Linked DNA regions of Arabidopsis thaliana. The protein of the gene in region 1 interacts with the protein of each later gene in a pairwise test. Each region holds a gene or a part of one and is shown in the gene's direction. Other genes may lie near its edges.

Region 1 (8,435 bases):
ACACAACTCACCCAACCAAAACTCCTTGAAAGATCATTCCCTGTACCGAGAGGAATAACTCCAACAGGAGGAATTTGCGACTTTCCATCTTTATTAAGCTCTCCAAGACATCCAAGAACCCAACCAACAGTACCATCACCTCCTGCAACCTATCCAACCAATTCCATTCACAATTCTGATTGCTAAAAACATTCAAGTGGATCTATAGAGATTGGAGAAAAATATGGTCAATACACTCACCATAATCCTCAACCTTGCTCTGCATTCTTTTGCACATTCATCTCCTTCCGCTGCCACTTTCTCCAAACACCCCAACCCGTATCGAACAAACTCATGCGGCTTCACTTCCGTGAGGTCAAACACCTGTATCAACACAAAAGTCACCATGAAGTTTCAATATCAAAAGCTCAAACCAATAACTTGACAACATCAACATCACTCAGCTTTCCAAAAGACTCAATCTTTAAACGTAACTCATCCTTCAAAGTTCCAACAAAACACTAGATCTAACATCAGCTAAGCATAAACATATAAATCAAGCATTAAAAACTTAAAAGCCAGAGACTTTAAGAAAGTTTCCAAACTAACATAATCAAAACACAAAGTAGATACAAATTAGATTCGAAATTCCCCCAAAAACCCAAAGAAAAAGATTTGAAATACAAGTTCAGTGAGAGCAAAACCTGTTCCTCGCTCATCAACTGTTGAAGCCTCTCTTTAAGAACAGGACCATGACGACCACCAGAATTGGGGTTAATGAAAACAACCATAGGAGCATGAGGAGCCATATCAGCAACAGCACCACCAGGAAGAAGTAAATGATCAGGAATAGCCGAGGAATCTTTGCGTTTGATACAGTCACGCATAGCGAGACGAAGATACTCAGGCATCATCAACCTCTGACGAAGCTCTACTTTATCTACACCAACCCATGCCAGATTCGCGAGTCCACAACCTCTCATCGTCTTTGAATCAGCCGTTGATGGTCGTGAAGCCACGAATTTCTCTTTCGATGCATCGGTTTTTGATACCGGAGAGTCCATTGTAGTCTCTCGCCGGAGAAGAAAAGACAAAAAGATGATTACTTTTCGTCCTGTGATTGGAGAAAATGAGGAATATTCGAAACCCAGATAATCAAAATTGGAGTTGAAATGAAAAATAATAAAGGATTGTTTTTTTTTAATCTTTCTTCTTCTTCTTTGCTGAGAGATTTCAAATCAACCAATATAAAATCTTCTTTTGACAGTTTGTATTTTCTTGTCTGTTTTGTCTTTTTTATAAATGATTTAGTTTCGAAGACAGCGCACAAAACGTGTGAATTAATTTGCTTATATTGAAAAAAAAAGAATTTACACGGTTGGATTTCAATGTGACGTCATAAAAATGCCACTCTTTAGATCTTTGATTCTTTTTCTTTTTTTATTGTTTGACATTTATGAAAGCGACTGATAAATGTTTATTTTGTAAAAGTTCTAATTTAGAATAATTTTGATTATTAATAATATTAAACTACTAAGATTTGTATAGTTTAATACCATTATCTTCTGTAACTAAGATTTGTAGATCTTTTGTTTCTGTAAGATCAAATTTACAATTTAAAGTGTACAAAATCTTACAATACTAATGATGGCATAAAGAGATTAACAATGAGATTTTTTAACGTTATTGTTATATCAAGAAAACCAGAGAAAATTAATTAGTAATTGATTGATACATTGTAAGAATAGGATCTAATGATATTTTAATATTCAAAAAGGTTCCATTATAGAGGTTACATCTGGTGAATATGATTGAATACAATTTGATATAGAGAATTAGAGATACTTGCATTATTATTTGCTTCCTATTATTATTTGACTGCATTATTGGTTTCTTTTTCTATGTAAAAAATATTTTCAACTCTCCAACAAAGAAACAAAATTCTCTGACATTTTGCTTAGAAAGAGTGGCGTTTTCGTCATTAAACAAAGGAATAGTTTTGGTGGTAACGTAAATTGTAAAAAAACAGCGAAGGAGACAATAGAAAATGAGAGCAGACATTGAAGTTAGTGGATTTTCCACAGAATGGGGCCTACAATGTTATTGCCCACTCAGAGAAATAGGGTCACTGAAAGTGATAGCTACTTCCCATTGCTGGGATCGTTGTGTACTTTTTCTAACCTAAATTTCCCTCAATGCCTTTTTCTTAACTTATAGAATTGGTCGAAACTTGAAAGTATATACAAATGCCACAGAAAAAAACATCATTTAATACCTTCTTAATTGCACGATATGATATCAGATGTTTTGTAACCAAGAATTGGTCCATGTAAACAATTTATTATGTGGCAGAGGAAGACTCAAATTCAGGTGGCTGATAAAAAGTGGGGTTTAAGATATTTCTTGAACTGGAAGACAATGAGCGTGTGTTCTCATTAGTATTACAAATCATATTTACATTATTATAAAGCGGAACATATTTACATTATACTCCAAATGATGTAACTATAAAATTTGATCTAACAATATATATCGTTAAGAAAAATAACCTAAATTTATCACAGCTTATTCATTTACACTCCTATAGAATCATAGATTTCCTACTCTTTTTTTTTTGTCATCATATAAACATATACTACTTTTTGTTCAAGGATCAATGTTTCTTAGTTTGGTGAAAGATAGAAGTAAACTGGAGTGGGCCAATGGTTAGGCGTGTAAGCCCAAACTTTGGAACGATTTTAGCCCATCTCAAAAGGAGCGTGCTATATTTTGTAAATGAAATTGCAAAATTACCTAACACAAATTTTCCTATAAAAAAACATTTCGGGTAAGAAACCGACAATTATAAAATAAAAATTGTAAGACATGTTTTATTGACACATGGAAAAATGAAGTTGGCGAAAAAGACAAACAGTAAACGTTAAGATAAAACCCTACCTATAAATATACCTTACACGCCACCTGACTTTATCAAAACCAAAAACACAAACCTTCAACGGCACGCTTTCTCCTCTGAAATCTCTGCGAGCAAACTTCTTCATCTACCTCTTACCGTACTTCAGGTTTGTGTAAATCATTTTTATAAGAACTTCAGTGAAATAGATTAGCAACCCTAATTGAATTTAATCGAATCGTAACTATTGTGAACGGAACCCATCCATCTTGCATAAAAACCCTAGTTTCTGAACAGCCTTTCGAAACTTCTAGTGTTATTGTATTGGCTCTGATCAACGTTGTTCTAAAGTTGTGAACTTTGATTGATTGCAACAGAGTGTTTAAGATGAAATCTGTCGTAATGTCGAAGAACAAGGGCTTAGCTGAACAAGATCTAAGTAAACTTGATGTAGCTCAGCTGCATCCTCTCTCTCCTGAGGTCATCTCTCGTCAAGCCACCATTAACATAGGTATACACAAGTTTTTGTTTCATTGAGTTTTGATGCTGAAGAAACTGATCAGCCGTGCATTGAAAGCTAAAGATATGACTATGCTCTCTATATCTCAGGAACCATTGGCCATGTCGCTCACGGGAAATCGACAATCGTGAAAGCCGTTTCCGGTGTGCACACTGTCAAATTCAAGAGTGAATTGGAGCGTAACATTACCATTAAACTTGGTTACGCAAACGCAAAGATTTACAAATGTGAAAAATGCCCTAGACCAGTAGCCTACAAGTGAATTCTTGCTCTTCTTTTGCTACAATAAGGTTACGTAGTGTACGTAGCAACTTATGATATGTGTTAATTATAGGTCTTTCGGGAGTGGCAAAGAAGACAACCCAAGTTGTGATGTCTCTGGACATGAGAAGTACAAGATGAAACTACTAAGACATGTCTCATTTGTTGATTGCCCGGTATAAAATGAGTTTTAACACTATTTCTAAATCTTTTGTAACCATTTTCTATATGTTAATGAGGTGTTTTGTGTGTTGATTAGGGACACGATATCCTAATGGCGACAATGCTGAATGGAGCAGCGATTATGGATGGTGCTTTACTAATCATTGCTGCGAATGAGACATGTCCACAACCACAAACAGCTGAACATCTTGCTTCTGTTGATATGATGCATCTTAAAGATATCATAATCATTCAGAACAAGATTGATCTCATCCAAGAAAACGAGGCTATTAAACAGCACGAGGACATCCAGAGATTTATAACGGTTTGATTCAATTTTCCCATTCTGTTTTTTTTTTGCATTTTTCACTTCTTGATTAGTTGGTTAAGTTTTAAACTTGTTATTACAGAACACGAATGCGGAAGGTGCTCCTATAGTTCCTGTCTCAGCGCAACTGAAATACAACATCGATGTTTTGTGTGAGTACATTGTCAAGAAGATTCCACTCCCTGTGAGGGATTTTGTGTCACCTCCAAGAATGATTGTGATTCGTTCTTTTGATGTCAATAAACCTGGCTCTGATTATGATGGTATGAAAGGTGGAGTTGCAGGTGGGAGTATCCTTCAGGTAAAACATACTCAATACCCCGAAAAACTAGGATAAATCGCGGTTGAATCAATGTAACTTATGTCTCTCTTTGCTTTGTTTGCAGGGTGTTTTGAAGGTGGGGCATATAATAGAGATAAGACCTGGAATCACTAGAAAAGATGAGAATGGAGACACTAAATGCACTCCCATTTACACGCGTATAACTTCATTGTACGCGGAACAGAACGAGCTTCAGTTTGCTGTCCCGGGAGGTTTGATTGGAATTGGGACAAGCATGGATCCTACGCTTACGCGTGGTGATAGGTTAGTTGGTCAAGTCCTTGGTGAAATAGGTACTCTCCCTGATGTCTATGTTGAACTTGAAGTGAGTTTCCAGCTTCTGACACGTCTCATTGGAGTGAAGACAAAGGAAACAGAGAGGCAAATGAGAGTGTCAAAGCTAGTCAAGGGAGAGATACTGATGTTGAATATCGGATCGATGTCTACGGGAGCTATGGTTATTGGAGTAAAGAAAGATATGGTGAAAGTTAATCTGACACTCCCTGTGTGCACCAGCATTGGAGAGAAAGTGGCTATAAGTCGCCGTGTGGATAGGCATTGGCGTTTGATCGGTCGCGGTCAGATTGAGGCTGGAACCACCATTTTTATCCCTTCTCCTCCTTCTTTGGCATGATTATATTTGATGCATTCACATATACCAAACTTGTAGTCTCATTATATCTTCAGAGTATTCCTAATCTGTCACCAAAGGAGATAACTAAACTTCTATGTGCTTATGCTTTTTGTGTGAAGTCTAACTAGAGTTTGATCAATTGCATCATCTTGATTTGTTATTAAAAGTTTTATAGTCTATGGATGTTACAGCTTAATTAACTAATTATCCTACATAGTTCATTTGAGAGAAAGATATAATTTGTGATTGTTGAAACTTGAAACTTGAAGTCTTGAAGAAACAGAAAGAAAGACTTGAAGTCATGGTCTCATTCCTAACGCCCAAAACAACAAAGATTAATAATGTGCAAAAGATGTATTGGGCCTAAAAGGCCTGGCCCATTAGCTGGATTCCGTAAGAAAAAAAAAAAAAGTGAAAAGGAAAAGAAGAAATCGTCGTTGTTGTGGAGAAGGAGAAGAAGGATAAGGATGATAACGGTAAGCGAAGTTTCCTCTTACTCTTCTTCTTCTTCAAACTTCGCGTCTCTGTCTCGTCTCAATCACAAATCATCTTCGAGATTGCGAAGCTCTTCTCTTTACAAAGGAAGCTTCTTCTCTGTTTCGACAAAGACCAGGAGGAACACTTGTAAAGCCAAATCATGGAATCTCGGTCTTGTTATCAACTCTAGAAGGTACTTCTTCTTTCAGATTTCAGATGGGTTCCATTTGAAATCGAAGATAATGATCTTGTTATAGATATTGCGACTTAAAGTTCGAAACTTTTCATGTGAATTTCTCTTGAATTGTGGAGATTTGAGGGTTATTTCATCACTAGTTCGTAGAAATGCTGATGTTTTGTCACTTACTGCTGCATTGTTTGTTGATTGGAGTTGATGTTTCAGCTCTGAGGCTTCGGTTTTTGATCCGTTGGGGATCAATCCAGATGAAACTTCTGGTTTAAGTAGCATTTGGGAAAGCTTTGTGAGTCTTTTGTCACCATCATTTGAAAGCTCTTCCGGTAACAGGCGAGATAAGCCGTCTTCTGGTAGAGGCGTGGCAGGTTCGTTTTGGCTTATCTACATTTGCTTATTGTATGTTTTAGCATGATTGATGATGGTTGCTTTACTCTTTGAAAACTTCAGCTGCTATTGAGGACAGTTCCATTGATTTTGGAGATTTCTTCAAAGGGCCATTGCCAGGGAAGTTTCTGAAGCTTCTTGGGTTTTTAGCTCTCTCTCGGCTTGGAATTTACATACCACTCGGCGGGGTTAATCGAGAAGCTTTTGTTGGAAATTTGGATCAGAATAGCATTTTGAGCACTTTGGATACATTTTCTGGTGGAGGCATAGGTAGACTTGGTATATGTTCTCTCGGGATTGTTCCTTTCATCAACGCTCAGATTGTGTTTCAGCTTCTTGCTCAAGTCTATCCAAAGTTGCAAGATCTTCAGAAAAAAGAAGGTGAAGCTGGTAGAAAAAAGATTCTTCAGTATACTAGATATGCTTCAGTTGGTTTTGCGATAGTACAAGCAATCGGACAAGTGTTTTACCTTCGTCCTTACGTTAATGACTTCAGCACGGAATGGGTTGTTTCTTCTGTTACGTTGTTAACGCTTGGTTCTGTTCTCACTACATATATTGGAGAGAGAATCTCTGATCTGAAACTTGGAAATGGCACTTCCCTATTGATTTTCACAAGTATCATCTCTTACTTGCCTGCATCATTCGGTAGAACAACAGCAGAGGCCTTACAGGAAGGAAACTATACTGGTCTTGGAACCATCGTTGTTTCATTTCTCCTCTTGGTACTCGGGATAGTATATGTTCAGGTACTATACCAAATTTTGTTCCTTTTAATGAATCTAAGAAGTTTGGTATGCTTATATAGTCTAACAAGCAAAGTTTTTCAGGAAGCAGAGAGGAAAATTCCGCTCAATTATGCCTCGCGATACACCAGCAAAGCTGGTGGGCTTCAGAAATCTGCTTATCTTCCATTCAAGGTCAATAGTGCGGGAGTAATGCCTATCATATTCTCCACATCATCTCTTGCTCTTCCTGCTACTTTAGCACGATTTACCGGCATATCTGCTTTGAAGAATGTTGCTTTTGCTTTAACCCCTGGAGGTAAGTTCTCCTAATACACAGCAAGTAAGAAGATTGGGTCCTTTGAAACTGTTTTTTGTTGATGACTTCACAAACAAACTATTGCAGGTTCTTTCTATCTTCCAACCAATATACTTCTCATAGCTTTCTTCAACTACTACTACACTTTCTTGCAACTTGACCCGGACGACGTGAGTGAACAATTAAAACGCCAAGGTGCATCAATCCCTCTAGTCCGACCTGGTAAAAGCACTGCTCTCTTCATCAAAACCGTAAGATCTTTTCTCCCTCTCTCCTTGATCAATTTTTACAAACTTCCCATTTTGGTTTATCATCTAACAACTATCTGAAAATGTCTCGCTCTGATTGCAATATCAGGTCCTTGGCCGGATATCGGTTCTTGGTTCTGCATTTCTGGCTGTTCTAGCTGCTGGTCCTGCTGTAGTCGAACAGATCACTCACTTGACAGCATTCAGAGGATTTGCAGGCACTTCTGTTCTGATCCTTGTCGGGTGTGCGACAGATACTGCAAGAAAGGTTCAAGCAGAGATAATCTCGCAAAAGTACAAGAACATTGAGTTTTACGAGCTTGACAAGTATGATCCATGAACTGGACCTTCTGTTTTACATATAATACCCATCAAACCAAGTTACTGTGTTCTCTTGTCATAGATTGTAACAAATGTTTTAAACTTTGATTAGTATATAATGCACTTTTGTCATGAGCTTGCCAAAGGAAAGTGAAACCTAGTATATAATTCATCAGAACAAATTGTCTTTCCCAATTTTCAATCAGAAGAAGAGCTCTCTTCGACAAGAAAACAAAATTGAAATGAATTCATCATATTATATCTATTTCCTTTTCTATGTATAAGCATCTCACATGGGGGCAAAGTAACCGAATTGACCAGTTCAAGATACTCTGTACAAAAGGCATATATAGCAAACCTAGAAACCTTTCAGGTAACCTAAAACCTTCAAATCCTATAATCTTTTAATATCACAACAACATAAAATCTAACGCAAACCCTTTCAAAGATCTATGCTTTCTTTCGACATTGTCCCATAGGCTGTTGAAAAGTGAACTTGCTCTGTTTCTTCTGTTGCTCATGCTTTGATCCATCTGAAGCTGAGGCCAACCATTCAAGCATCTTGATAACACTTGGGGTATCATCGAGATAGTACTTGGCCTTGCTCGGTTTCTGACCAACTGTGCACGCAAAGACCTCTTCGAGACCAATAGAGGAAACATCTTG
Region 2 (9,240 bases), 4.2 Mb from region 1:
AATTGACAAAACTATGTTAAAAGATTTTTTTTTCAGTAAACAGAATAAAGGCATTTTTATAAAAAGTAATGGATGAGCCTTATAAACTAAAATAAAAATAATATTACTAGATTTTCAGGCTATCATTTCATATATTTGTATGCTATTTGCTAACCATGCCAATATTTAAAACGCCAAGGTCCATTGCTAACTTAACTTTTGGTTAATTTGTCATAATTATCATTTTTATTTGCATTTATTATTGGAAATATATATGTACGTTGATGGCTAAGTATAAATTAACTTTGCTTAATAGGGTTCATTATCATATAGATCCGTAATCATGAAAGCTTAATTAGGGTATCTTTGTGGGTCAAGACTCAAGAGTAGGCTTGTCCCTGATCTGTCGTTTTCGTCTTCGTTCATTAGATATCTTCATGGCGATGGTTTTATCTCTTATATGAATCTTTTTTGAATATATTAATTATCTTGTTGATTGCAAACATATATAAGCTTGTAATCTTGCAATAAAACAAATGAAAGGGGTGAACCAAATTCACAATAAAACAACCATTGATTGTCTACTATTAACTATTCAATGAAATATAAATGTTCTACGTCATCATTAAAAAACTATGATACTAATCTCGTTTCCTATTGATATTAATATTTCAATATATAAGAACAATAACTCTAACAAGAATAATGACTGAATCTTAGTATGAAAATAACTTTACTCGGTATCAAACGACGTAAAGAAAGGGAAAAAAAAGCATGAAAAAGATGAAACCTGTCATTTACAACTTCTATTTTATGTCTACTTTTATTTTTATTTTCAAAAGAAGAACAAAGAAGAGATCTTTCAAATTGTCTCTACATTTTATCTTCTCTTTTACTTTTCCCTAACGATTTTGTTGTATGTAGTATATATCTTTAATAATCAGTCGTTTCGTATATAAATGCGAACATCTTTTTCAGAAAGAGATTGCCTAAAATGGCGTATATGTTGTATTATTACCCTAAAAACAAATAATCTTTAACGTTAGTTGATCATGCATGAAATCATCAGCAAACCTTTTCATAATCCCACTCATCTCTTTTGTGCTCTTGTCCTTCTCCATTTTGTTGTTATCTTCTCTCTTTTTTTCTTCATTTTGACCATATATCATTTCTCAATAATTTTTCGAATTTATCATGAAAAACGTAGAACTTCTACATGTCAAAAGCTTAGATACACTGAAACCATGTATTTTAGTGGTTTATGCTACAATCGTGTCTATGTGTTACTATTATTAATAAAATTTATATAATGCATATTGTTAAACAAAAAGTTGACGAAATTATGACAGAAAAAAATGACGAAACAATTTCTTTTAACTCTTTATCCACAAATATCTGATTTTTTTTTTTTTTTTTTTTTTTTTTTTTTTTTTTTTTACTAGGGAAGCAATGAATTGCTCTTTTTTTCTCTCCTGGTGTCAATGCTTCAATTATGAACGTTAACTAATTTATTGCTTTATGAGCTTCTTTCTCGTCCAAACATTCTTAAAAACAATAGTGAAAGTCTCGATTACGAATTCAATATGACTACGTTCAATTTCATATATCGCTTTCCATTCTAATTTTTTAAGATTTGGCATAGGTGTACTAATCATTTGCTTCATCTGCCGAACAAATTTTCATAATTACTTTTTTAAAGAACGCATATGCGGTTATAATTTGTACCACTCTTAACTTTGCATATGAATTTACTTAATTACTTATGCACCCATTAATCAATGGAAGCCCGAGGTAATATGCAACCTGATTAAAAAATATTACGTTATTATTCTGATGGTCCGTACATACAAATATTACTTTTTATAATTTTCCTATGTATCCTTTGTATATGAATTGAAAAGCATTTTAGAGAAATAATTTCTATTTAGTAACAAATTAATGAGTTATTACCCATAAATTATTCTTACGTCTCCATCAAAAAGTGAGTTTAGCCTTGAAAGTTCTGTGTCGACGTCGTTATGTTATAAAACAATAAATACGAACTCTTAATCGTTCGTTGTCATATAAAATTAAGAAAAAAATACAACATCATCATTTTTTTTATTTTTTTTGTCAAACTTACAACATCATCATTTCTATCAAAAATTTATGTTAAAAAACAAATTATGAAATAAATAATTATTTCACAACGAAAAATAATAATAACAAATATAATTATTTTCAAAACAACTTTAAATTTAATTTCTATATATAGTATTTGGTATAGGTCTATATATGATCGTGACGTGTGAAATATAATTGAGGAACGGTGGATGATTCTTGAAAACAATGTGGAAGATATTTAATTCAGTATGATGCTTAAAAAAACTCATAACGTTAGCTATGTTTTGTTGAATATTACATCACATAAACGTATGGGTGTGCACTTAGAGCGAGCCGGTGATTATAGGTTTGTTTTTTTTGGTAAAAAATTATTGAGAGATTATTGATTATAGGTTTTGAAGCTATCGATCTGAGCTAGAGATTAAGGAACGAATCCCTCTATGAACATTTAAACCTTGTTCTTTTTGCTTATTAACTGAGAGATTAGGATCCTAAAATCTATACAACACTAGAGATCATTATCCAAAAGATTTTACTTAGTCCCATTTGCGGTCACATTTAATTCCCTAAAAGCATGAAAATTCTATCCCATTTGTTTTTTCCACTAGACTTGGGACTCAAAGCGTAATTTATAACTATCTTACGTTAGAGAGCATTATTTACGACCATTATTTAGGCTGAACTCATTATAGACATCGATCAAGCTCTAGTGTTAAATACATTTTCTTTGTGGGATTAATCTTTAAAGGCCTTGTAATCACTTACTATTTCGTAAGTTATGAAGATTTGGGAACCGGATTATGGCTTTGGGAAGTTAAGTCCTATGACTCAAGCTTACCTTTTTAGGGTTGTGTATAGGTTCTCGATAAATGTTTCAGATTAGTTCATTTGTTTTTTTGTTTATAAAAACTACATAATATAAAACGTGGAAAGAAAGTGATAATGACAAGAAATAAAAGTAAGAAAGGTGGTGGTGTGAGAATCAGATTCGATGTCAACTAATTGAAAGAGAGTACGCAGCTTTTTCTTCACAATTATATATATTTTGTGGAAAAGCTTACCATACATTCACAAAGCATTCGAGATTTGATTTTTATAGAAAAGTATTTACATAAAGTATTTTCTAAATCGGTTTCTATTTTGTATGCTTTCAGTTTTATTTTGTGTTGGGGAAGTGATCCATGCATTGAGCTTGGAGATTGATGGATTGGTAATTAAGCCTATTAAGTTAAGCAGGCCTGTTTCTAAAATGGGCCCTAATAAGCCCAAACTACAAAAAGCACCGATATATCCCACGTTAGATACATGTCCACGTGGACTCCTATGACTGGATGTAATCTCCACCACGCGCGATCACCAGCTTCGTCTCTCATTTTCATTTTCCAATTTATTTTCAAAAAAAGATAAATCCAGAAAAAAATTTACAAAATAAAAAAATAAAAATCTCTATCTTCTTCTTCGTCTCTTCTCATCCTCCTCTCAAGCTCCAATGGCGAGAGTTCTAGTCTCGTCTCCATCTTCATTCTTCGGTTCACCGTTGATTAAACCGTCGTCATCTCTCCGTCACAGTGGAGTAGGAGGAGGAGGAACCGCTCAATTTCTTCCATACCGGAGTAATAATAACAAACTCTTCACTACTTCAACCACCGTACGATTCAGCTTAAACGAGATTCCTCCTTTCCATGGCTTGGATTCATCTGTAGACATCGGAGCGATTTTCACCAGAGCTGAATCTCTTCTCTATACAATAGCTGACGCCGCCGTTGTTGGTGCTGATTCCGTCGTAACTACTGATTCATCCGCCGTGCAGAAGAGTGGTGGTTGGTTTGGTTTTATCTCCGATGCTATGGAATTGGTTCTTAAGGTGAGTTTTAAGCTGCTAATTTCGATCTCTGTGTGTAGAATTCTGGAAATTGTATTTGTAGCTTAAGTTTTTTGGTTTGGATTTTTAGATTTTGAAGGATGGATTATCAGCGGTTCATGTACCTTATGCTTATGGATTTGCGATTATCTTGCTTACGATTATCGTCAAAGCAGCGACGTATCCTTTGACTAAGCAACAGGTTAGTGAGTGTGATTAGTTGAATTTTGCAGCTCCTCTTGTCACTTTGATTCAATTTTGGCATGTTGGTTGAGAATTTTTGAGCATTGCTTTTGTTTTGGAATCCTTTAGGTTGAATCAACACTAGCGATGCAAAATCTTCAACCGAAAATCAAAGCGATTCAACAACGTTACGCAGGAAATCAGGTGAGTTTCTTTGGATAGAGAATGAGTTACTTGTGGATGACGAGTCTGATTTGTTTGTTCTGTTTTTGGATATATAGGAGAGGATACAACTAGAGACATCGCGATTGTATAAACAAGCTGGTGTTAATCCGTTGGCAGGTACTTTCTTTTAGAAGTTACGAGTTTTGTATTCCCTTCCTGAATTGTGGTGACATATGCACATTATTGTTTTTTTTATGTTAGGTTGCTTACCAACTTTAGCAACCATACCAGTTTGGATTGGTTTATACCAAGCTCTCTCTAACGTGGCCAACGAGGTACATATACCTTATGTCTCTTTCAACTACTGATTTCGCTAGAGACCGGATAAGTTTGTCTCTTTCAACTACTAATTGTTCTAAAAACTTTTTTTTTGTAGGGATTGTTTACAGAAGGTTTCTTTTGGATTCCATCTCTGGGTGGACCAACATCTATAGCTGCTCGGCAGAGTGGATCCGGCATTTCGTGGCTTTTTCCGTTTGTGGTAATGGAAGAAAAAAACTTTATGTGAATACGTTTTCTCATTTGATACTTATCTTTATACTAAAAAATTTCATACAACTGAGTCTTTTGCTGTGCAATGAACCTTTATCAAATTGGTGTCTAATATCGTTCGGTGGTGCAGGACGGGCATCCACCATTGGGATGGTATGACACTGTAGCTTATCTTGTTCTACCTGTTCTACTTATTGCCTCCCAGTATGTGTCAATGGAAATTATGAAGCCTCCTCAAGTGAGAAATAAACACAAGTTTCTTTTATTTTTCCTGTTACTTAAACAATTTGATATGATTGTTCTGAAACCGAATTTAATTTCTTTTGTCAGACTGATGATCCTGCACAGAAGAATACGCTTCTTGTTTTCAAGTTTCTTCCACTCATGATCGGTTACTTTGCATTGTCTGTCCCATCAGGACTATCTATTTACTGGTTGGTTTCCCTCTCCTTGAAACTTCTCATCTAACTGTTTTATCCATGCCCTTGATCTACTCATTAAATGGAGTATAAGAAAGATTTTCTCTAGTAATTAACCTAGATGGCTTCATTCTCAAAATGTACGTAAGACGGGTTAGAATTTCGAGGAATACGAAGCTTGTTTGATAAGGAATCATCTAGTGTGACTACATTTTGTAACATCAATATTATTGTATATGACTGTGTTTATTGGTAGGATCTGAGTTTTATTTTTTCCCTTTTTATTATGCTACTGCTTATGTTAAACCATCCTATGGTTTTAGGCTCACAAATAATGTACTTAGTACCGCCCAACAAGTATATCTGCGTAAACTAGGTGGTGCAAAGCCAAATATGGATGAAAACGCAAGCAAAATAATAAGTGCGGGACGAGCAAAGAGATCTATTGCTCAGCCTGACGATGCTGGCGAAAGGTAAGTGAATCCCGAGTCTAGTGGAGATTATATCTCTCAATACGAAGCGTTTTTCTTACAAGTTTGTTATTTCTGATAAATGTATATTGGATCACAACAGATTTAGACAATTAAAAGAGCAAGAGAAGCGCAGCAAGAAGAACAAGGCGGTTGCGAAAGATACAGTTGAATTGGTAGAAGAATCTCAGTCTGAATCAGAAGAAGGGTCTGATGATGAGGAAGAAGAGGCTCGTGAAGGAGCGTTAGCTTCGAGCACAACAAGCAAGCCGCTTCCTGAGGTTGGCCAACGAAGAAGCAAAAGATCGAAGCGGAAACGCACTGTATAGAACCAAAGCAAACGAAATTGCAAGTAAGGAAGAGAAAAGAGAGAGATTTGAATCTTGTTCCTTAGTTTGATCTTTTGATATATATTTGCATACACCATGTCCGGTAATTATCTAATATTAGGGCACAAAAAGGTCATTCTAAAGTTAAAAGCAGTAGTTGATCAAAGTAAATTGTTTATGTGATTCATCTTATTATAAATGTATTAACGTAAATGTGTGTACTATTATGACTTTTCAACATGCCCGCTTCAGTTTTGTTAGCATTTCGTTGTTGTAAACTTGCAATCTATTTGTTTGGTGCTTTTATTAGCTTTGTCAGCTTATAAAAATGGTAAATGTGAATCAAGTAGTATAGTAATTTGTGCAATAAACGAGACAACGATTCCCCATGAATAAACAACAATTACTTCCTGACAAAGAAGCATTGTTCTTTGGATTGGCATGGATAAAATAGAGAGAGGTAAAAATATTACGATTTGGATTGGGCTGAGGCCCAAGATATGGTTACACGATTTTCAAATTCTCGAAGTTGTACAAGTAGACAAAAGACATCTTGTTTTGTCGTGTTGTCGTTTGGTGTTTGTCGTTTTGATGTGTTTGTCAAAGAACCCTGTTACTAATCTGAACGAATATAACTTGTCAGTGTAGCCACATTACACTAATATTCAGAGAAAGTTGTCATGTTGTTACAATCATGAGTCACATAGCATGTAATAGAGTGTACATTTCAATAGGTTTAGAAGTTTAGAACACATAAATCAATCGGTCCATCTAAAATGTTTGCATTATGGTTTACTCATTGTAACTTGTAAACATTACATATGTGAATGCTTACTATCCTAGAAAAGCAAAACTGTTGGAAACAGCTAAAAATTAATATATCTGCCTAATATTTTCAGAATATGTTATTTTTCAACCATCCGAAATAGTGCTATTTACCAAAAACACACATTAGGATTAGTTTACCAATGAAGGAAACAAAGCTTCGTTAGTCACAAACCACATGCCATCATTTTATTCTTTAAAGAGCTTTCAAGCTTTTGACTCATAGAAATAGAATCCAATATTCATCTCTTTTAAACTGACATTAAAGCCCTTCGCCTCCTTAAACCCACATGCTAAATTCATTGCCTAACCACCCAAAACATCCAAAGGGTATTTTCGTCACTCCAAAAAATGTATGCATATCGAAAAATACTTTAGCTTATATACACACACGTCGCATTGGCACACCTTTCACACCAAAAGCTACACAATGGCTAAAACCTCTCTTCCTCTCGCCGCCTCCTTCCTCCTCCTCATCTCCTTCTCCTCCGCCGTAGACACTTCCCGTCTCTTCCTCACCGTCGTCAACAACTGTCCCTTCACTGTCTGGCCAGCCATTCAACCCAACGCCGGCCACCCCGTCCTAGAGAAAGGTGGCTTCGCTCTCCCAACTTTCACTCACCGCTCCTTCAACGTTCCAACCACACACTGGTCCGGTCGCATCTGGGCCAGAACCTGGTGTGCCCACTACAACGGAAAATTCTCCTGCCTCACCGGAGACTGCGGAAACCGCCTGGAATGCAACGGTCTCGGCGGGGCACCACCAGCTTCTCTAGCTCAGTTCGACCTCCACCACGGTGGTCACCACGACTTCTCCTCTTACGGTGTCTCTCTCGTTGACGGTTACAATGTTCCGATGACCGTGACTCCTCACGAAGGCCATGGTGTCTGTCCTGTCGTTGGTTGTCGTGAAGATCTAATAAAAACGTGTCCGGCTCATCTTCAGGTCCGGTCACACAGTGGACACGTGGTGGCTTGTAAGAGTGGGTGTGAGGCTTTCCATACAGACGAGCTGTGTTGTCGTGGTCATTACAATAGCCCTAACACGTGTAAAGCTTCGAGCCATTCGCTGTTCTTTAAGCATGCGTGTCCTTCGAGTTTCACTTTTGCTCATGATAGTCCTTCGCTTATGCATGACTGTGCTTCTCCTAGAGAGCTCAAAGTCATCTTCTGCCACTAATGTTTCGGCCATGTTCTAGGGTTATTGTCGTAACATCGGACTGATCTTCTAATGCTTTTGTTTGGTTAGTCTGATTTTGATTGGTTTAGTATGCGATTTCCCGGTTCAGTTATGTAGTCCAACTATGAAATTATGTATTATCTTGAAATTGCTCTCTTTAATTCTCTTTTTTTATTTCGATTCTGTAATGCTTAAACATTGATAGAGAAGTTATAATTGGAATGGTAACAATTTAAAAAATTTTGGTTCAAGAATAACCATTTTGAAAGAATGATTTGTTTTCAGTTGATATTCACGGTTTTTACTCGATATTAAAAAAAAGGTACATTGTTTTTATTCGAGGCTTGCAGGCTTAGACAGTGTTTTGTTCTTACACCTTTTTATTTTGTATTTGTCGGTAAGATATTTTATATCACGAGTTTCCACATTTTTTAATGTATAATGTGAACCACTAATCAAGTAGTATATCGGTAGTAAATATATTTAACTTTTCGCTTAACAAAAACTTATTAAAAAAAAAAAGACAAAAATCTGAATTGTACAGTGGCTATATTGAACTTACAGAGAAAAGAAAAATCCAATAAAGAAAAAATTATTGGTGTAAATCATATATCACAAGACTTCTTTAGGCATGGAATGAAACACACTCAATACGAAAAAAGCTGCATCTTCACGTGAAAGATTCTCATTTCTTTTTTGTGTGCGAGAGAAATTTAAGTATTAACACTTCTTTTACAAAAGTTGGATATCCTGAGATAAAATCCAAACTAATTAACTCAAAAGTAATTGTTAAGAGTTTTGTTGGCGAGATAACAAAAGTATTTATTCTGGACCATTTTGATTTCTTGAGTACTCTCAGTATAGTAATTAGTTGACCAAAAAGGAAGCTTTATATACAAGTGATTGATTATGTGAACTTCACTTTCGGTGTTCAAGTATCAATTGGACTCCCGATTTCGTGGTTGTGTGGTTTATTTATGGTCAAAGAACTGTGTGGGCTTAAAACAAAATGATTTGTGTTGGCTTGGGCCTTGGGCTATGAAATATGTGGATAAGGATACGTGAGCAATTACATTCTCGTTTAATATGACGAATATCCGTTGCAAGAGAAAAAATTAGACAGCTAACACAGCAGATATACAGAAGTTTTAGGCGTTCGCATATCTGTCTGTCT
Region 3 (7,013 bases), on another chromosome or scaffold:
TTATATATCCTCTTTTCGATCAGATTAGTCCTACAAACAGAGGTGGAATAACAGTTATACCCTTTTAGTTTGTTTTTGTTTACACAGATGAAGATTGAAATTACGATTATACCGTTCAATGTTTCTTCTTCACCGACTTGAAAGCTATGACCTTTCCGATCACCGGCGTTAGTTATGAGCCTCCTCTCCGCGGACGCACTTGGGTTACTTCTCAAGAATGCAATCTCCGCGAGTTCCATGCGTTTGGGTCGCGTCGTTCACGCAAGAATCGTCAAAACCCTCGATTCACCACCACCTCCGTTTCTCGCGAACTATCTCATCAACATGTACTCAAAACTCGACCATCCGGAATCAGCCCGACTCGTTCTCCGACTCACTCCTGCACGAAACGTCGTCTCTTGGACTTCACTTATCTCCGGACTTGCTCAGAACGGTCATTTCTCCACCGCTTTGGTTGAATTCTTCGAGATGCGACGAGAAGGTGTTGTTCCAAATGACTTCACTTTCCCTTGTGCTTTTAAAGCTGTGGCTTCTCTGCGTTTACCCGTTACTGGGAAGCAGATTCATGCGCTTGCTGTGAAGTGTGGTAGGATACTTGATGTGTTTGTTGGGTGTAGTGCTTTTGATATGTATTGCAAAACTAGGCTTAGAGATGATGCACGGAAGTTGTTCGATGAAATTCCTGAGAGGAACCTTGAAACTTGGAATGCTTTTATATCTAACTCTGTGACTGATGGAAGGCCTAGGGAAGCTATTGAAGCGTTTATTGAGTTTAGAAGGATTGATGGGCACCCGAATTCGATAACTTTTTGTGCTTTCCTTAATGCTTGTTCGGATTGGTTACACTTGAATCTAGGAATGCAGTTACACGGGCTTGTGTTACGAAGTGGGTTTGATACAGACGTCTCTGTTTGCAATGGGTTGATTGATTTCTATGGAAAGTGTAAGCAGATACGTAGCAGTGAGATTATCTTTACTGAAATGGGAACTAAAAATGCTGTTTCTTGGTGTTCATTGGTTGCTGCATATGTGCAGAATCATGAGGATGAGAAGGCGTCTGTATTATATTTACGCTCAAGGAAGGATATTGTTGAGACCTCTGATTTTATGATATCAAGTGTTCTGAGTGCGTGTGCTGGTATGGCTGGTCTTGAGTTGGGAAGATCGATACATGCTCACGCTGTGAAGGCGTGTGTTGAAAGGACTATATTTGTTGGAAGTGCCCTCGTTGACATGTATGGAAAATGTGGATGTATAGAAGATTCAGAACAAGCGTTTGATGAGATGCCTGAGAAGAACTTAGTGACTCGGAATTCATTGATCGGAGGATATGCTCATCAGGGTCAGGTTGATATGGCATTGGCTTTATTTGAAGAAATGGCACCACGTGGATGTGGTCCAACTCCAAATTATATGACTTTTGTGTCCTTGCTTTCCGCTTGTAGTAGAGCAGGGGCTGTGGAAAATGGTATGAAGATATTTGATTCGATGAGGAGTACTTATGGCATTGAGCCAGGGGCTGAGCATTATTCATGCATCGTGGACATGCTAGGGCGAGCGGGAATGGTAGAACGGGCTTATGAATTCATAAAGAAAATGCCAATTCAACCGACAATTTCGGTTTGGGGTGCTCTTCAGAATGCTTGTAGGATGCATGGTAAGCCACAGCTGGGATTACTAGCAGCTGAGAACCTTTTCAAACTCGACCCTAAGGATTCAGGCAACCACGTTCTGCTTTCCAATACGTTTGCAGCGGCTGGGAGGTAAATGAACCGCATTGATTCTATTCAATTTTTATTCATCTTGTTAGGTTGAAATCATATTCTAATCAATTCAAAAGAAGCCACACGATGCTTTGTAAACAAGAGCCACCCAAATGTTTAGAAGAAAGACTACAAAACTAGGAGTATCTGAGCATTATCTGAATCGAGTTTTAAATAGATGAAACTTGTGTTAAACATGAAGCAGGGGAGACCAACCATTTATTTTGTCTTCAGTTACTTATGATCTAACTATATTATAACTAATCAATGATAGGTGGGCGGAAGCCAACACCGTAAGAGAGGAGCTGAAAGGCGTAGGGATCAAGAAAGGAGCCGGATACAGTTGGATCACAGTGAAGAACCAAGTCCATGCCTTTCAAGCCAAGGACAGATCCCACATACTGAACAAAGAAATTCAAACAACGCTGGCCAAGCTAAGGAACGAAATGGAAGCTGCAGGGTACAAACCCGACCTGAAACTCTCGCTTTACGATCTGGAGGAAGAAGAAAAAGCAGCAGAAGTCTCGCACCACAGTGAGAAACTGGCTCTAGCATTTGGATTGTTATCTTTACCACTCAGTGTCCCAATCAGAATCACCAAGAACCTTAGAATCTGCGGAGATTGCCACAGCTTCTTCAAGTTTGTCTCTGGGAGTGTTAAACGAGAGATCATTGTGAGAGACAATAACCGGTTTCATCGGTTTAAAGATGGGATATGTTCTTGTAAGGATTATTGGTAATCTTTATTAGTTTAGGCTTAACATTTATTTATATCTTTGTACTATAAACTTAGTCGATTATGATCAAAATCTTCTAATTTCAAGACTTGGTAAAATCCGCGTTATAAAAACATATAAAAAAATTGGATCCAGCTACATTATGGACATTGCATTCACTACGTGACCTCCTCTTAAGTCTTAATACACGTATTTTTGCATGTATAAATAAGCATTGCCTCCTTAATTACATTTGATTAAAAACTAAACAAACCAAAAATGTCTAATTTTCTAAGGAAGAAGCTACACCTCTGTTTCTCCTCTTCCGGTGGTCTCTCACCGTCGATTCCTTCCTCTCCGATCATCGTATCAAATCACAACGCTCAATCTCATCCTCATCACACTCCCTCAATCTTCATCAACAACTTCAACTCTCTTTACGATCAGCTCTCTGTTTCTTCTCCCCTCCACCGCCGTCACAGTTCCGAGAACCCCGCCGGGGTGTTCTCCACTAACCGCCGCGAAGAAGAAGAAGAAGACGAAACCACCACCTCCGTTTCGAAGCTTTTAAGCGGCGGGACGGCGATAATGAAGCACATAGAGTCACCGGATCCGTACAGAGATTTCGGAAGATCGATGAGAGAGATGGTGGAAGCTAGAGATTTAACGAGAGACGTCGTCGCCGATAGAGAATACTTGCACGAACTGTTATTCTGTTATCTCTATTTGAATCCGAAACATACTCACAGATTCATCGTCTCTGCTTTCGCCGATACGCTCCTCTGGTTACTTTCTCCGTCGCCGTCGCCAGAGCATTTTTTATCCTAAATTTAAATTTTTTCAAATAAATATTTGGGCTTTATAAGGCCCATAATAATTGTAGCAACTCTTACTATACTCATTGCTGTATCTGATCATTTACTTCAGTCTTCAGATATCTGAATTATCCACAAATCTAAAATTGAGAAAACTTAAAAAAGTTCCCAATTTCGAAAAATGTCACTAACCGCACAATTCTCGCCGCCGGTCACCGGAATAACCAGGAGTCTCCGGGATACAAAACCGTCACTGTCTAATCTCCGTGTATTTCCGGTTTACACTGAGATAAGAACTATGACGACGAGTAATCTGAGGAAATCGGCGTGTTTTGTGGCTAAGGCTATAGAACAGAGACGAGATACAGCTGGATCTGAATCGGAATCAGAAGCGACTCCGTCACCGGCGGAAGAGAGTGGAAGCGGAGAAGATAAGGAAGTGGAGATTAGCGCGATAGGAGCAGAGATAAAAGCAGCGATGGAGCAGAGGAAAACGGCGGAGGAAGAGAAAGGGAAGAACGAGTTTCTTAGTGGAGTTGCGGAGGAAGTGAAGGAGATTGAGTGGCCGGCGTTTCAGAAAGTTCTCGGAACTACCGGCGTCGTGCTCGGTGTTATCGCTGGCTCTAGCGTCGTCTTGCTCACTGTCAATTTCCTTTTGGCTGAACTCTCTGATCGAGTGTTCATCGGAAGAGGTGTTCAAGACTTCTTCAGCTGATCCTGTGAATTGAAAATGGTAAAATTTGTGTGTACAATTTTTAGTGATTGCAATGAGAAATCGAAACATTGTTGATTTGTGTAGATGATGATAAAGAGAATTATCGGAATCACTCCTTTTGAGCATTACCTTCTTCTTATCCTAATCTTATATTTAGCCTGAAATATTGACTTGGGTTATGTTGGTTTAGTTTTGATCATGAAACAGTATGATACTTATGAACAAAGTTACATAGCAAATTTAAACTTCATTAACAAGCAAGTGGTTCACAAAAGAAACAGAGAAAATCTAGTTTGACTTTTATTGGCACACAAGAGAAGATACAGATGGAAGCAAAGACGCAATGTAACTAAAGATGAAGAGTCTCTATAGGAGAAACTGAACATCTCTTTTATTTTGGCGTCTCTTAAGAAGAAATGGAGAATGTTCAAGCCTCGAAGGTCATGGCTTCCGCTTCTTTCCTTGTCGCATCGAAAAGTACCGTTGATAGATACCTCTCCCCGAAACTCGGGAATATCGCCTGTAAAATAATTCAGTTGATTTCGTTTACATCAGAATCAGAAAGAAATCCGGGTTATGTAATCAGAGCTTATTGGCTTTGGGGTGATGATAGAATCAAAGAGCTTACCACAAATAGCTTCCCAGCGTTTTCTGGCCTCTGTGCAAGTTTAATTGCTGCAGCAGCTGCTGCACCGGATGATATTCCCACCTACAGTATAGCTTTTGTTTTTAGAAACAGAACGAAGTTGTAATTCTGATGGAGATAGCTTTTTGTTGTGAAATGTGAAACACTTACAAGAAGACCTTCTTTAAGAGCAAGCTGCCTTGCCATGTCAATGGATTCATCACTTGAAACCTGTTGAAAGCGTTACAGGAAAATGGAGAGAGTCAAGTAAGAAATGAAGCTCTCTTGCATTCAATTGTGTTTTGCTATCAGTCGATAATATCGAAAAGCAGTCTTACCTGAACAACTTCGTCAATAAGATCAACATTCAATACACTTGGTATAAAACCAGCTCCTATCCCTTGAATCTTGTGAGGACCTTGATATTTTCAGCAAACATCATGTGTTAGGAAACTCCGAGGATAAAAAATAAGACATGAGGCAAACCGAGAAACGAGGAACATGCATGCATGGTTATCGTAATAAACGCAGGGGGAACCAAAATCACCTGGCTTCCCACCGGATAGAATAGCACTTTCAACTGGCTCCACTCCATACAGCTAACAGAAGAGGAAACAAAATGAGAAACCGTGCAAAGACACACCACTTAGTCACTTAGATAACAAAGCCAGTTGTTCGAAAAGATGGAGCTCTCACCTTGACGTTTGCGTTCTGTTCTTTAAGATACTTCCCAGCACCTGTAATGGTACCACCAGTACCAATCCCAGAAACAAAGCCATCGATTTTGCCACCAGTGCCTTTCCATATCTCAGGTCCCGTAGTCTCATAGTGGATCTGCATTTGACAGTGAAATTCCATCGACTTAATATGGTTCAAAAACAGACAAAAACAGATACACTAAAGCAATAGTAAATAATAAGCATACCTTAGGGTTGGCAGGGTTCTCAAACTGCTGAAGCATGTAACCATTGGGTGTTTTCGCCAAAATCTCTTCCGCCTTTGCGATAGCTCCTTTCATGCCCTTAGCTGGGTCAGTTAAAACCAACTCAACTCCAAAAGCTAAGAGAATGATTCTTCTCTCAGTACTCATAGAAGCTGGCATTGTAATAATAAGCTTGTAGCCTTTGGCAGCTGCCGTGAATGCTAACCCAACTCCAGTGTTTCCACTTGTTGGCTCAATCAGCACACTCTAAAGAACAAACAAAAAGTCAGAAACAATGAAAACAAAAACAAAATAGTGGTTTGAAGATTCAGATAATCGAAACTGACCTCTCCTGGTTTGATAAGACCCTTCTTTTCTGCATCAGAAATCATGCTAAAACCAATCCTGCAGAAATAAACAAAGTACAAGGTCTTCACAAAACCGAAACTCGAAGCGAGAAACAACACATAGTTTCTGGACTAGAGAAGAAACCTGTCTTTGACGCTAGAGCACGGTTCCATCATCTCAAGCTTAGCAGCAACACGACCAACACATCCTTCAGCAACATTGTTCAAATACACCAATGGAGTGTTCCCAATCAACTGCCAAATAGAATCAATCAATACATGAACATGGAACAAAGCTCACTCCTTCGTGAAATGAACAGTGAAAGAACTTGAAAGCCTTACTTCAGTCACATCTTTAGCAATTCTCGAGGCCATGATTCAAGCTTCACTGCTTAAATTCACAAAAAGAGAAAAGTAAGACCAAAGGAATAAATCATCCTCAAACCAAAAACACATCATACAAAATCATCAAACATAAATCTCCAGATGTATGAGCACCAATCCAGTTATACAACACTCTTAACACCAAATCAACAGATTTAACAGCGAAATAAGCTTAAGCCCATACAATTATCCGATCCAAACAAATATAATCGAAACCGGCAGAGGAATAAGCAAGTGAATCAAAAAGTATGGGACGAGGAAGAAGATGATACCTGAATGAGAAAGTCAATAACCTTGACCCGAATCGTTTTGAAGAAAATGGAGAAAATCGGTTGTATGGAATAAAATCTTCGAATGATGAGATATATGATCTCTTTGGTGTCAGTCACATGGCACACGCTATCAATTTAGAAAAACGCGGTGGTTGGTCACCAGAATTACTACTTCTCGGTCTGATTTGGTCATATCCGTATTAAGTCCGGTTAATATTTTCCATAACTGGGGTTTGAACATTCGGTTTCTTTTTTTCAGTTAGTCCGATTTGGAGTTTTGAGTATGGAAAAATAATACTGAATTTATTTGTTCAAACTGTTTTGGAAAAAATATTTCCCTTAATTACGAATATAATTAAAATTTTAAAATTCATTTTATTAGATCTTGGTTAATTCGGTTTAATGCATTAATGAATTTCGGTTTAAGTCGGTTTTCGGTTTTTATGTCCCACCA

What was found.
Region 2: the proteins of SCY1 (region 1) and ALB3 interact in binary tests that used the Arabidopsis thaliana proteins (3 or more experiments, as listed by UniProt).
Region 3: the proteins of SCY1 (region 1) and SECE1 interact in binary tests that used the Arabidopsis thaliana proteins (3 or more experiments, as listed by UniProt).

What each region holds. Positions count from the first base shown.
Region 1 is NC_003071.7:8,111,584-8,120,018, reverse strand, and holds SCY1 (SECY homolog 1), read left to right. Parts: upstream 1-5,533; 5' UTR 5,534-5,566; coding exon 5,567-5,769; intron 5,770-5,979; coding exon 5,980-6,137; intron 6,138-6,219; coding exon 6,220-6,905; intron 6,906-6,986; coding exon 6,987-7,200; intron 7,201-7,287; coding exon 7,288-7,451; intron 7,452-7,557; coding exon 7,558-7,788; 3' UTR 7,789-7,935; downstream 7,936-8,435. Other genes in the region: DGK3 (diacylglycerol kinase 3), read right to left, coding at 12-149, 241-363, 684-1,043; AT2G18721 (uncharacterized protein), read right to left, coding at 2,913-3,020; AT2G18720 (Translation elongation factor EF1A/initiation factor IF2gamma family protein), read left to right, coding at 3,260-3,383, 3,482-3,650, 3,727-3,829, 3,913-4,140, 4,226-4,444, 4,530-5,099; TPS11 (trehalose phosphatase/synthase 11), read right to left, coding at 8,220-8,435. UniProt on the Arabidopsis thaliana protein: Involved in protein export. Probably interacts with other proteins to allow the translocation of proteins across the chloroplast thylakoid membranes. Required for normal greening during embryogenesis. Central subunit of the protein translocation channel SecYE.
Region 2 is NC_003071.7:12,353,490-12,362,729, reverse strand, and holds ALB3 (63 kDa inner membrane family protein), read left to right. Parts: upstream 1-3,161; 5' UTR 3,162-3,571; coding exon 3,572-3,946; intron 3,947-4,034; coding exon 4,035-4,145; intron 4,146-4,255; coding exon 4,256-4,330; intron 4,331-4,407; coding exon 4,408-4,468; intron 4,469-4,552; coding exon 4,553-4,626; intron 4,627-4,727; coding exon 4,728-4,832; intron 4,833-4,973; coding exon 4,974-5,081; intron 5,082-5,173; coding exon 5,174-5,277; coding exon of another isoform or gene 5,278-5,311; exon of another isoform or gene 5,312-5,585; coding exon 5,586-5,735; intron 5,736-5,835; coding exon 5,836-6,061; 3' UTR 6,062-6,409; downstream 6,410-9,240. Other genes in the region: AT2G28790 (Pathogenesis-related thaumatin superfamily protein), read left to right, coding at 7,242-8,066. UniProt on the Arabidopsis thaliana protein: Required for the insertion of some light harvesting chlorophyll-binding proteins (LHCP) into the chloroplast thylakoid membrane.
Region 3 is NC_003075.7:8,513,773-8,520,785, forward strand, and holds SECE1 (secE/sec61-gamma protein transport protein), read left to right. Parts: upstream 1-3,327; 5' UTR 3,328-3,475; coding exon 3,476-4,009; 3' UTR 4,010-4,182; downstream 4,183-7,013. Other genes in the region: LOI1 (Pentatricopeptide repeat (PPR) superfamily protein), read left to right, coding at 175-1,763, 2,038-2,503; OFP11 (ovate family protein 11), read left to right, coding at 2,759-3,307; OASA1 (O-acetylserine (thiol) lyase (OAS-TL)), read right to left, coding at 4,437-4,529, 4,638-4,718, 4,806-4,865, 4,973-5,052, 5,182-5,233, 5,331-5,468, 5,560-5,823, 5,904-5,961 and 2 more. UniProt on the Arabidopsis thaliana protein: Involved in the import/insertion pathway in the thylakoids. The signal recognition particle is not involved in the insertion of SECE1 in the thylakoid membrane.